3 linked regions of the Cricetulus griseus genome follow. The protein of the gene in region 1 interacts with the protein of each later gene in a pairwise test. Links are inferred from orthologs where the notes say so. Each region holds a gene or a part of one and is shown in the gene's direction. Other genes may lie near its edges.

Evidence for each region.
Region 2: the proteins of Prpf31 (region 1) and Mkrn3 interact in binary tests that used the Homo sapiens proteins (3 or more experiments, as listed by UniProt). The two-hybrid records come from large-scale screens. The link is inferred for Cricetulus griseus from reciprocal best matches to the Homo sapiens genes PRPF31 and MKRN3.
Region 3: the proteins of Prpf31 (region 1) and Ccdc57 interact in binary tests that used the Homo sapiens proteins (3 or more experiments, as listed by UniProt). The two-hybrid records come from large-scale screens. The link is inferred for Cricetulus griseus from reciprocal best matches to the Homo sapiens genes PRPF31 and CCDC57.

What each region holds. Positions count from the first base shown.
Region 1 is NC_048602.1:21,549,263-21,553,791, forward strand, and holds part of Prpf31 (U4/U6 small nuclear ribonucleoprotein Prp31), read left to right. Parts: intron 1-595; coding exon 596-679; intron 680-1,242; coding exon 1,243-1,340; intron 1,341-2,062; coding exon 2,063-2,169; intron 2,170-2,434; coding exon 2,435-2,604; intron 2,605-4,227; coding exon 4,228-4,385; intron 4,386-4,529. UniProt on the Homo sapiens protein: Involved in pre-mRNA splicing as component of the spliceosome. Required for the assembly of the U4/U5/U6 tri-snRNP complex, one of the building blocks of the spliceosome.
Region 2 is NC_048596.1:135,056,081-135,060,367, forward strand, and holds Mkrn3 (probable E3 ubiquitin-protein ligase makorin-3), read left to right. Parts: upstream 1-1,487; 5' UTR 1,488-1,602; coding exon 1,603-3,183; 3' UTR 3,184-4,103; downstream 4,104-4,287. UniProt on the Homo sapiens protein: E3 ubiquitin ligase catalyzing the covalent attachment of ubiquitin moieties onto substrate proteins.
Region 3 is NC_048600.1:133,406,168-133,410,141, reverse strand, and holds the start of Ccdc57 (coiled-coil domain-containing protein 57), read left to right. Parts: upstream 1-1,174; 5' UTR 1,175-1,349; intron 1,350-3,974. UniProt on the Homo sapiens protein: Pleiotropic regulator of centriole duplication, mitosis, and ciliogenesis. Critical interface between centrosome and microtubule-mediated cellular processes. Centriole duplication protein required for recruitment of CEP63, CEP152, and PLK4 to the centrosome.

The sequences.
Region 1 (4,529 bases):
CTTAAAGAGCTATTGGATGCACATGTTATTCAATGCCAATATAATCAGGCATACATTAAGGTTTCTAGAAAGAGAACTCAAGGAAGGAACATTCCAGGGGGAGGGAACAGTGCTCATGAAGGCCTGGAGGAATGGAATAGCCTTGAGTGCCCAGTGTCTGAGAAGATGAGGCAGGAAGGCTGTGTGGAGCCGATGAGTCAGTGGCTCGCCCTGGAGTGAGTCCTGTGCTGTATGCACCAAGGTTGCAGATGTGGGGACATGGGCCCGGTACTCTTCCTTGTGGGGCCTCCATCTAGATGGGAGACCTTGAGTGCCAGTCTGAGGAGCTTGCTCGTTAGCCTCGGGGCTTTGGAGAGCCACAGGAGGGTTTAGTTTTAAAGCAGGATGAGGTCAAGACTAGATTAGCCCAGAGGAGGCCTGCAGGAGAGAGAGGAGAGGCAGGAATGAGGATGCTGGGGAGGTTTCCAAGTCCCTAGTGCATGCTTCAGCCCCTCCTTTCTGATCCAGCCAGCTTCAGCTCCAGTCTTCCCTAGCTCTGTGACTTACAGACGGGTGGGTGCCCTCTCTCATCCACATTCCTTCTTCCCCTTCCTAGTGATGGGACCAGTGGAGGCAGCCCCCGAGTACCGAGTCATTGTGGATGCCAACAACCTGACCGTGGAGATAGAAAACGAGCTGAGTGAGTGATGGGGACAGCCCTGTTGTGTGCCCTTCCCTCTTTATGACGCAAAGGGAAGAATAGGCATGAACCTGGACCTCTTCTGTTTGCCTTTCTTCGACTACTGCCCTGACCAGGTTTACCTTCTGTAACAGACTGATTTACATGAAGAGAAAGTGTATTCTCCTTCCTGAAAGTCTAAGTAAACAGAGCAGGTCTAGAGTCACCCTTTGACCCCTTCAGCCACCAGACTCTGCCACTGGTTTCATGCTCCAGGGTGATTGCCTCATTTCACGTCCCTACCAGCAAATGGGGAGGGAAGACAGGGCATGGCTGCTTCCTTAAGGCCATGGTCTGGATGTGGAAAATGCCAATTGAGTTCACATCTTGTAGACATTAGAACAGACTTCATGCCTGCACATAGCCCTGGGGACAGCTAGGAAATGTAGATTTCATGCTGGCATCCATGCACCAACCCAAGATTTGGGCTTGTTCACTAGAGAGGCGGAAGTGGGTGTTGGGGATAGCAGCAGAGTCTGCCTCCCCCTCCCTCAGCGGACACCCACCCTCCCTGTCCACTTTAGACATTATCCATAAGTTCATCCGGGATAAGTACTCGAAGAGATTCCCGGAGCTAGAATCCTTGGTTCCCAACGCTCTGGATTACATCCGCACAGTCAAGGTGAGTGGGGAGGAGTCTGGTCCCGGAAGCAGCGTGAAGCCTCGGGATCTAGAAAACGATGGAGAGGCGTGAGCCGGGGCTCAGTGGGAAGGGACAGGTGCCGGACAGGGTGTCTCACACACACCTCTGGCTTCTCTCCTCCCCTTAGCTTGTGGGAGGATCCCCATTGGCCTGGCCCTTGCCTCTGGCTGTCATTGGGTCAGGTGTCCTTTGAACTAGCCTCTGAAGGCTGGCAGAGGCCGCAGCGAGATAAGAGCTGAGATCCTGAGTGGGAACAAATGAGGAGGAAGTGAGAAGAGGCAGGGAGGGGAGCTTGACAGGTCAGAAAGGTCAGAGCACATCACACACAGAAGGTTTGGGCTCCCCTGGGAGCAATGACAGGAGCAGGCAGAGGGGAAAGAGCAGGGGTCCTGCCTCTGTCCAGGAGGTCAGGGTGGGAGCCGAGGAAGTCCGTCTCTAGTCGTGAGCTCCCGCAGGCTTCTTTAGTGCAGCGTGTCGTCCTTGAAGGCCACTTTGCCCAGCTTCCACTTCTGGGTCAGCAGAGCAGGCAGTGCTGATGCTTTCAGCAGTGAAGTTGTCAACCTGTAAGAGGCAAGAGAGGTCTCCAGTATTAGCTTTCCCGGGTTCCTCAAGGGAGCCCTGTGTTCGTGTTGAAGCAAAAGAGCTTCTAGAATCTTCTGGGAGTTACTACGGTCTCTCTCTTTCTCCCCTTCCCACCCCAGGAGCTGGGCAACAGCCTGGACAAGTGCAAGAACAATGAGAACCTCCAGCAAATCCTGACCAATGCTACCATCATGGTCGTCAGTGTCACCGCATCCACCACCCAGGGGTACGTATACCACGCGGTAAGGCGCTGCAAGCCTACCATAGGCCAGCTGGCAGCAGAGACCAGAAAGGGCAGAATGGGGTTGATGGTGAGGGTGGTGCTGGCTGAGAGCTGTGGTCCCTAGGCTGATAGAAGTTGGGGTAGCCCCAGAGTTACACAGACACACACGCATACAGAACCGAGAGGATGGGTGGGGCTGGACACCCGTTAGACAAGCGCGCAGCAGAACTGGGCGCCGGCCCCAACCCTTCCCTGCTTCCCAACTCAGGCAGCAGCTGTCGGATGAGGAGCTGGAGCGCCTGGAGGAGGCCTGTGACATGGCCCTGGAGCTGAATGCTTCCAAGCACCGCATCTACGAGTACGTGGAGTCCCGGATGTCGTTCATCGCACCCAACCTGTCCATCATCATTGGGGCATCCACAGCTGCCAAGATCATGGGTGAGTTCCCAGCTGGGTCCCATGGTCTGGGGTTGTCCTGGGGAAGTGGGGCTTGACATTAGGGGCTCTATTACACTGTCATCTGGAGACTGAAGTCAGCCAGCTTGGCATAGCAAATGATAAAAGTGTAGCAGCCCCTTCTGAGTACAGCTGGCTGAAGAAGGAGCCTCCTCCCGCCAATGGGTCCATTTTGGACCCTGGGGCATCCACAGAGTAGTAAAGTCAGCTCCTGACCCTCGGGCTTTCCTACTGGATAGGGCAGCAATCCTGTCATGTGCTAAGTTCCTCCTCCCAGAAGCTCCGGTAGCCGGAGTCCTTCCTTGCAGGGAATGCTCGCTCACAAAGGGAATGTGGGGAAGCCACCACCTTTGGTCCCTTAGCTGTGGTCTTGAGGACTACAGGCCAGGACACTTACACTCCCGAGGGTGCTGTTTCAGAGTTGACAAGTCTGAGACCAAGGTGCTTTTGGGGTTGGTTTCTCCCTCAGCCTCTGCTTGGCTCGGGCATGCCTTCTGTATTTTCATGCAGCCATGCTGCTGTATCTGCAGCCTCATCTCCCTTCCTCACAAGGATGCCAGTCAGATAGAATCGGGATCCGTATGACCTCATCTTATCTTTGCCCTCTCCTTAAAGATTCTATGACCTGGGCCAGAAAGATGGCCCAGCAGGGAAAAGTCCTTGCCACCCAAGCCTGACAGCCTGAGTGTGATCCTCTTAACCCACACGAAGGTGGAGAGAGCTAGTCCCATAAGTGTCCTCTGCTTTCATGCACACACACATATAAAAATAACCTAAAGCGGTGAATAACTGATACTGAATCCAGAAGGTTAGGATAACTTTTAATAGATAAACGCCAACCAACAGCAAGCCAGAGGGTGCCAAAGCAGCAAGGCGAGAGAGCTCCCATGTGCCTTGTCTGTCCCTTTAAAACCACCCTGACATCACCTTGACCACATCCTGAAGGGCGTGGTTACGGTGTCTCCCTACAGTAACCTGCCCCCATACACACACATACACATAAATGATCCTGTAGCCTTCCAGACGAAGTGGCTTAGACCAGTAATCCCAGTGTTTAGAAGGCTGAGGCAGGAGGATTGCTTTGAATTTGAGGTCCTGAGCTACAGAATACTGTCTCAAACCAGCAAACGAATGAAGGTGCAAAATTGTCTTAGTCACCGTTCTACACTGTGAAGAGACACCATGGTCAAGGTAACTCTTCTGGAAGAAAGCACTTAACCAACCCAACCTGGGGCTTGCTGACACTTTTAGAGGCAAAAGCTATTATCGTGGTCATCATGGCTTGGTAGCAGGGAGCATGGCAGCAGGCAGGTGTGGTGCTGCAGAAGCAGCCGAGGGCTACATCCTGATCTGGAAACATAAAGAGAGATTGGATCTGGCATTCTTTTGAAACCTCGAAGCCCACCCCCCCGTGACACACTTCTTCCAACAAGGCCACGCCTCCTAACCCTTCTCATCTAATTAGAGGTTTCGCTCCCCGGTCACTAAGCATTCAGATACACGAGCCATCGGAGGACATTCTTACTCAAACCACCAAGGTCCACGGGAGCCCCCAGGTGTGGTGTGAACCTGTGTTCTTCCGACCTCGCCTCTTTGTTGTTGCAGGTGTGGCCGGAGGCCTGACCAATCTCTCCAAGATGCCTGCCTGCAACATCATGCTGCTGGGAGCCCAGCGCAAGACGCTGTCGGGCTTCTCCTCTACCTCAGTGCTGCCGCACACCGGCTACATCTACCACAGTGACATCGTGCAGTCTCTGCCCCCAGTGAGCCCTGCCCCTGCCCACTGTCCCCAGCCCCCGTGCCTTCCCTGGTTTGGCTGACAGTAGCACTCAGGAGCCTGGAGGATAGGACAGCGTGGGTTGGGATGGCAAGGACACAATTGTGCGCCCACCCCTTGGTGGCTGGAA
Region 2 (4,287 bases), on another chromosome or scaffold:
TTTTCTGGTATTTTTACTAATGGATGTTTCCATTAGTAACCATTTAATGAAAAGTTGCAAGTTTCATGTGCAAATATTTTATCTAATGCCATCTGATAATTCTAAGTTTTGCTATATACTGTTGGTACTAAAAATATTTCATGGCTTTAAGTCTTATTAGTGTCAGCTCTTTTAAAAATGTGGTATTGGTGATCTGTGCCTTTTTAGTTTTCTTAATAAGTTACACATTAATCATTTTGGTCATTCTATTCTCCCTATTTCATATTTATTTTTCTTCATTTCCCTGGTTTTCTTACTTCTATTGTTTGATAATATTCTTACTTGTTTAGTATTGTTTTGTTGGCTTTGTTTAGATGCGACTTACACTTTGACTTGGATGACTATATCGTAGACATTAAGAGTTTCTTTAAATTTAGGCTATAAGATTCCCTCTAATAAAATTGTTTTGGGAAGCAAAATCCTATTTTTAGATAAGGAAGGAGAGTAAATTAAATATTTGAACATTGCGAATTCAAATAATCACGTACGTAGGGGAAGGGAAAAAAGCGTGATTATTAATTAAAAGCCAGCATAAACTACATTTAAAAAGTCATTGTGTGACCATGGGGAAGTACACTTAGCGTTTTAGAAATACATATAAGAATTATTAGCCCAATAGAATAGATGCGTAACATTAGGAAAAAAAAAAAAAAACCCACCCAAACTAATAACTCAGTGTGGCAATGGAAATGAGACATGTTAGGCTGGTATTTTGAAAGCCTAGTGCAGGATGCAAAGTAAGGCGGCAAACAAAGGGTCTGCCTGAATCCAGCCAGCGGAGAAAAGTGAAAACCTGTGTCCCCCTCGGAGTTTTATTAAGCCATCATCAATGCTGGCAGAAGCCCAGGCTTCTACTTTGCTGGGCGGATTACAGTAACAAAGGCAGGGGTCTGAAAGGCGCTAAATAGCTCCAGTCACACAAAGGGTCCCCTTGGGATTCAAGCGCACTGAATTAACCCTTCAGGGGCACACAGCCCCGGAGAAGTGCTGCCGTCTCTACACCCGCCGGAGCACAAAAGCCGCGGCAGAGACACTCCCGGATTTTAAAACTCAGCCGCCCATAGACAAAAGACGATTAGACAGGGAAATGATTTGTAACGTGTGCGAGTGAAACGCCATAAAAACCTCCAAGAGCAGTCGCGGCACAGGCGGCGACAATGGCGTTTCCTCACACAAAGAGAAAATAATGAAATGCGGTGTGTGCAACCGAATCCTGCGGGGGGGGGGGGGCGGTGTGGAAACCCGGGCTAGGGGCTCCCGAATCCCGCTGGGAGCGGCCGACCGCGGACCGCGGGTCCCTAAGCCGATAGCGGCGGGAGAAAAACATGGCTGAAGTAACTTCCGCTTTCACACCGGCAATTGGTGTCCCCACCGGAAGTGTCCGTCTGCCGCTCTGCGGGTAGGAACCAAAGTTCACAGGGGGCGGGTTTCTGGTGGGAAGACAAAAATTGGTGCACTTCCCTCCGAGAATCAGCCGATCGGTCCAGCTCCAGCTCCGCCGATTCAAGCACAAAAAAGATATAATATTAGACAGTTTTTGGACACTGTCAGGGGCGCATAACAATGGAAGAGTCTACAGCTCCCTCTGGTGCAGCCCCAGGTGCCGAGGAAGGTGCTGTGGGGGGGGCGGGTGTGTCCGCCCCCCCCCCTCCCGAGTTGGAGGCTTCTGGAGCTTCCGAGGTACTCATTTCGGCCTCTCCGCCAGAGGCATCGGGCCAGGCACAGCGCCTTGTGGCTCCTAGGCCGGAGAACCGACGCTCGGCGAGCTTGGGGCCCGTTCCGCCCGCAGGGGGCGGAGCCAGGTCTGGTTCCGACCACCACAGCGGCAGCTGGACAAAGCAGATCCTCTGCAGGTATTATCTGCATGGGCAGTGCAAGGAGGGCGATCACTGTCGCTACTCTCACGACCTCTCTGGGCGGCGGAGAGCTAGGGGGGGGCAAGATTCTCAGCCTCGGGCCTCTGCAGATAGAGGGCCCAAGATGGCCACTCACAGGGAGCCCCCGACTCAGGAAGAGGCGGAAGCCCCCCCTACTGCATCCTCCAGCTCTTTGCCTCTGATTGGCTCGGCTGCTGAAAGGGGCTTCCCCGAAGCTGAGATTGACAATGCAGGCATTGGCTCAGCTGGTGAAAGGGGCTTCTCTGCAGCAGAGATTGACAATGCAGGCCTAGCCGCAGCTGCTGCGGGAGGAGCGGGTGCTGAAGGCTGGGAGGGGGCAATTGAGTTTGTTCCTGGACAGCCCTACCGAGGTCGCATGATCCCCCCGCATGGTCCCGAGGCTCCCCTGGCGAGCCCGGAAGTTGAGAGAGAGCACATGGCTATGGGCATGGGGGCGCCGCTGCCGCTTTGCCGCTATGCTGCCCGGGGAGAGTGCCTCCGCGGGGCGAGTTGTGCATACCCCCATGGAGAAATATGCGACATGTGTGGGCAGCAGGCCTTGCACCCTTGGGATGCGGCCCAGCAGGAAGCTCATAGAAGGGCCTGCGTTGAAGCCCATGAGAGAGATATGGAGCTCTCCTTTGCTGTGCAGCGCAGCATGGACAAAGTGTGTGGCATCTGCATGGAGGTTGTCTATGAGAAAGCCGACCCCAGCGACCGCCGCTTTGGCATCCTTTTCAGCTGCAACCACACCTACTGTCTTAAGTGTATCCGCAGGTGGAGAAGTGCCACACAGTTTGAGAACAGGATCAGTAAGTCCTGCCCACAGTGCAGGGTCTCCTCTGGCTTTGTCATTCCTAGTGAGTTCTGGGTGGAGGAGGAAGAGGAGAAGGAGAAACTTGTGCAGCAATATAAGGAGGGGATGAGCCAGAAAGCCTGCAGGTATTTTGCTGGAGGCCTAGGTCACTGCCCATTTGGAGAGTACTGTTTTTACAAGCATGAATACCCTGAGGGCTGGAGAGATCAGCCTCCGAGGCCAGGTGGTGGCGGATCGTCAAACGCATACTGGCATCAAGTTTTGGAGCCTGTGCAGTTGCGAGAGGGAAAAGTGCTGTTCAAAAGCCGTAAGAAGGAGCTTGCTGTGCTTCGCCTGGGCAATCAGTTGCTTAAGAAGTTGCTTTGCCTGAGAGGCAGTTTTTCCTTCTCTGATGACCGGTGGCTCTTGCTTCAGTTCCAGCTGGAAGAGTATTTCAATTTGAATCTGTAGTATCATGCTATCGCATGTGGTCTAGTCTGCTAAGGCTCTGTTGTCTGCTGTTGCTTACTTCCCTCTATTGACTGACAACCCTATTGCTTTCAAAGGCTGTTGTGGCAATCTTTATGCAGTACTGCTGTTTTCGCTTCTATTTCCCATTTCTTCTCACTAGGATTGTGATGTTTCTCTGTGTTACAAGATAAGAAGAAATCTTAAAAGTATTGTTTGGTGGAATTAATATTTCTGTCAGCTGATGACTTGTGGTGTCTTTTTCCAACAGGATTCAATCACTTCTAGTCTAGTGTTTACAGTTTCTCATTGTGAAGTCCCTTAAGAGTAAATGTGACAAGGTGACAAAAGTCTTTAAATTATGAGCTTTTTGCTATATAGCCTTAAAAATGCAACCTTACAGGGCCTTGCAGCTGCTGTCTGTGTTTGTTTACATGTCTGTTTCTTCCCTTCTCTTTCAAGTGCAATTGTTAACTTGTGGTTACTTTGTGGTTCTGTTTTACTTGACCAAAATAAGGTGCATATGTTTACATGTTTTTATCCTGTTTGGCTTGATGTGAAATTATTTATATTTGGAAATATATATTTAAGAATGATATATATGCGTATATGTATATGTATACAAAGATGTATTTGAAAGAAATTGGAAACAAATAAACCCCATAATATATATGTTTGAAGTAACGAAATAAATGCAGAACTGAAAGCTTAATGTTAAATTCTAAGTGTATGGATTGTGTGTGAATTCTGTGGACAATTTCTCTGCCCCTGCACTGATGTCAGTGATTAGCATCTAATAAAAATGACTGCTTTGTGTATTGGACTCTTTTTAAAAGACTTTTAAATCATGAATCTCATAATTCCTGTGATAGCATTCACAATTTCTCTGTTGTAATCATAAAATGGATGTGCCTCTGATTGTAGCCACTGTCTCATTTTTCTTATCTGGTTCTTTTTATACTTTAGACGCAAAATACTTTTGACAAAGGTTTTCATGATAAAAAATTATAAGACCATCAGAGAAGATGGTAATAAATATTGAAATTAGTCAGAATATAAGAATGAAATAAAAATGAGGCATGGGAATTTTAAAATGTTAACCATAAT
Region 3 (3,974 bases), on another chromosome or scaffold:
GAGGAGATAGCAGCGGAAGGACAAAGGCAAGCTGTCTGGGGGAGGGTTCAGATCAAGCACCAAGCATGCTATCAGGAAGTGGGAACAGCGAGTACAAGGGAAAGACTGATGGGGTTAGGAAGACTACAGAATGTAAGGCAGGAAAGTAGGAATGACGCTAGACCACTGGATGCTGCCCTCCTGGAGCACGGGATTCCCAGACACTCCCCATCCCTTGGGAACTGTGCTGGCTGAGGTGTGTGAGTCAGTGCTGGCTTCTGACCCAGGGCTGGGCCACACAGTTTACCTATTTATTTATTTATTTATTTATTTATTTTGTGTGATGGTGCGAATGCACACCACAACATATGGAAGTCAGAGAAAAACTCAAGGGAATTGGTTTTCTTCTTCCACTATGTAGGTCCCAGAGAGCAACTCTGGTCATCAGGCTCGCCCATCCACTGAGCCATCTCCTTGGCCCTCAGATAACCCGAGGATTTAAATGACTAGCTAAGACAGAAACAGAGGCACGCCTGCAACAGACGCAAGCCTGATGTTGGGCTCATGCAGGCCCTTCCCAGTAACCTGCTTCACTCCATTCAACTCTACTTAGTCCATGAAAGCCTGGGTCCTGCATAAACGCTCACCTTTTGATGCCTGAGGTATCAGGGCAAACCCTGGAGAGCACTCAATGTGGCCCCTCACCCAGAGCTCCGAAGTACGACCGATCCCTTCACTTAGCGCCCCCCCTCCCCGCCTGGTGATCGGCCCCCGGTGCAACCTCCCTCCAACCTTGCCATGTGCAGTCCACTGCACCCTTGCCATAGTCCCAAGTGCAGGCTACACTAACGCAATGCAGGAAAGATCTGCGTCCACGGAGCAACTCCCCACGCCCGACTCGCAGGCTCTCCACCTGAGCTCCCAGCCCGTCCGCCTGCCGGCGCCTCCTCGCAGATGAAATTAGCCCTTTGGGGCTACAAGATGGGCACCCTGGGGACCCTCAGGCCACCTGGGGGGAGGACACAGAGCGCCACAGGTGCGGGCTTTTGCACTACTCAGGGAGTCCCACAGGTCAGCAAACCCTATTCAATGCCAGTGTGGACCCCGCGGAGGTCGGAACTCTGTGTTGGGGTTCCTGTTTCTGCACGGAGGGATCGGAGCGATGCTCACAGTGCACCCGGACCCAGGCCGCGGACTCCAGTCGCTATGGTAACGTGGCCCGCGCTAGAGGTGCGACCGGAGGGCGGGCGAGCGGGCGAGCTAGTGCTGGCGCTCGGAATCCCGGCGGCCCCAGAGCGGGCTGGCGCGGTGCCTGGTCGCGCGCCGGGAGGCGACGAGGATTTCGCTGGGCCCTGCCGATGGAGCACGGGGTGAGTGGCATGGCCATCGCTTCAGGTTCCGGCTCCCGTGGGGCTTTGACCCAGGCTCCCCAGACGCCTCCCTCAGGAAGTAGTAGCCTCGGGCGACCATCGCGAGGCCGGCAGCGGCACTGGGTGCAGGGTGCCCCGAATCAGCACGTTAGCCGCAGTGTTCCCCCTGCTCTGCAGCCTGGATCAGCGCCGCGCTGCCCCGCTGACTTCATAAGTCCGTTATTTTGTAGACTGCATCTCATCCTCGGCTGGCCCGATATTTAACATAAGATTGAGTTACTAACATTTAGCATTCTGCCCTCGTGCCTCCCAGGAGACAGTGGTGTCTATCAAATGGCTATCATAAAGTTACTGTTTTCTTCTGGGCACGCCTTTAATCCCAGCATTTGGGAGGCAGAGGCAGGCAGATCTCTGAGTTCGAGGCCAGTCTGGTCTGCATAGTTCCAGGACACCCATGGCTAAGTAGAGACCCTGTCTCAAAAAAAGTAACTAAATAAGCAAAGTTAGGTTACTATTTTCCCGTTATAAATAATAAATACCTTTCGGGGGAGGTGCTTGCTTGTGTAAAGTCCTGCTTCTAGCCGTGTTTTCAGTGACTAATTTTAGCATACATCAGTGAAAACTTCCTGATTTTTTTCATTTAATTTCACGTTTTATTCTTTCATTGCTTTGTTTGGTTTTGGTTTTTCGAGACATGGTTTCTCTATGTAGCCTTGGCTGTTATGAAAATCACTCTGTAGATCAGGCTGGCCTCTAACTCGAAGATCTGCTTGCTTCTGGTTTCTGGGTCCTGGGTTTAAAGGCATACACCACCACCACCCAGCCATGTTTTATTCTTGCTATGTTGGGTAGAGAAAAGGAATCACAAGTTAGCCGAATAAACCATTCAGACCTTTCAGGATAAACTGGGATCTAGTTTCCAAAGGTCTTTATTTAGAACCAGGATCAGAGTAGGTTTCAACCACTGCTCTGGCATCTGCGGCCCTGGGAGAGCCACAGAAAACAGGCACAGAATGTATTCTCCAGGGCTCCTGTCTGGGTACAGGGCCAGTCCTCCATGAAGATAGCAGGTGAAGGAGACTCAGCAGCTCCAAGGGATTCAGGATGACACAGGCCTGGGGCTTGTCATGAAGAATGAGATTATTGATGTCCCCACAGATCAGACCTCACAGGTCACTGTCCTTCCACCTATATCCTGGAATTATTTATGAAACTCTTCCATGAGCACCAGGCAGGAATTTACTCCTTAGCTTCAGAAATAGACCAATATAAGCCCATTGTCTTAGTCACTGTTTTATTGTTGTGAAGAGACACCTGACCAAGGCAAGTCTTATAAAGAAAACATATGAGGGAAAAGGGGCCAGCTGATGAAACACAGCCTGAGCAGAGCCAAAAAGAAACACACTTTGGCCTGGCAACTAGAACCAAAGAAACACACCCTGACCCTGAAACCAGTGCCAAAGAAACGTGCTTTGTCCCTATAATCAGAGCCAGTGAAAGAAATACATCCTGGCCCTAAAATTAGAGCCAAAAGGCTAAAAAGGACCAGTGAAAGAAACACACTTGGGCCCTGAAACCAAAACCAGATCTGTCCTGCCCCTGAGCAGAAAACCAACCAATCCCTGAGCACTTAGCATGACCCAAAGCCCCTGGCAGATACTAACTACCTGGTCCATTACAGAGCAGCTGTCAGGCCCTGTTCTAGGTGATTTAGAATTTACAGGAAGACCTGCCACAAAGCTGTGCCCACTGTCCAATGGAAAAATCCATTATTTCCTGTGAAATGCACTCTTGTTTCTTTAGTTCTGATGATTTGGACTGTAATTTAAATTTTCATTTATTTTATGTCTGTGTGTATGCTTGTGGAACCATATATACGAAGGAGCTTGTGGACTCTAGAGGAAGGCATCAGAGCCCCTGGAATTGGAGTTACAAATGCTTGTGAGTGGTCATGTGGGTTCTGGAAAAGGAACCAGGCCCTCTTCAAGAGCAGCCAGTGCCCTTAACCACTGAGCCATCTCTCCAGCCCGACTGTAACTAATTTTTGTTATCAGTAATTTCATGAATGAACTTTTCTCTAAGTAGTATCCTTGCTTATATAAAGAGCACCTAGGAGCTGGAGAGATGGCTCAGAGGTTAAGAGCACTGGCTGCTCTTCCAGTGGTCCTGAGTTCACAATTCCCAGCAACCACATGGTGGCTCACAACTATCTATAAGATCTGGTGCCCTCTAGAACACTGTATACATAATAAATAAATAAAATATTTAAAAAAGAGCAGCTACTGGCTTAGGAACTCTGAAGTTGGTGTAAACACATAACACAATATACCCTAACTCACCTGAACTCACTCACCTATATTACATCACACACAGCACACACACCTTGCTATAACATACTCACATACCTTCACAGCACCACACATGCATACACATAGCCTACAGACAACACGTATAATGCCACGTTCTTCACACACGCACCGTGCCCTCTCCTACATGCATACGTACATCACAACACAAAAGCAAACCCCTGTGGTCCCCCTGCCCCTATTATGAGTTTTATGTCTGTGGTTGGTTGATTATTGTTGATTTGAGTATAGGTGAGGCAACCCCCATCATCTTCACTTT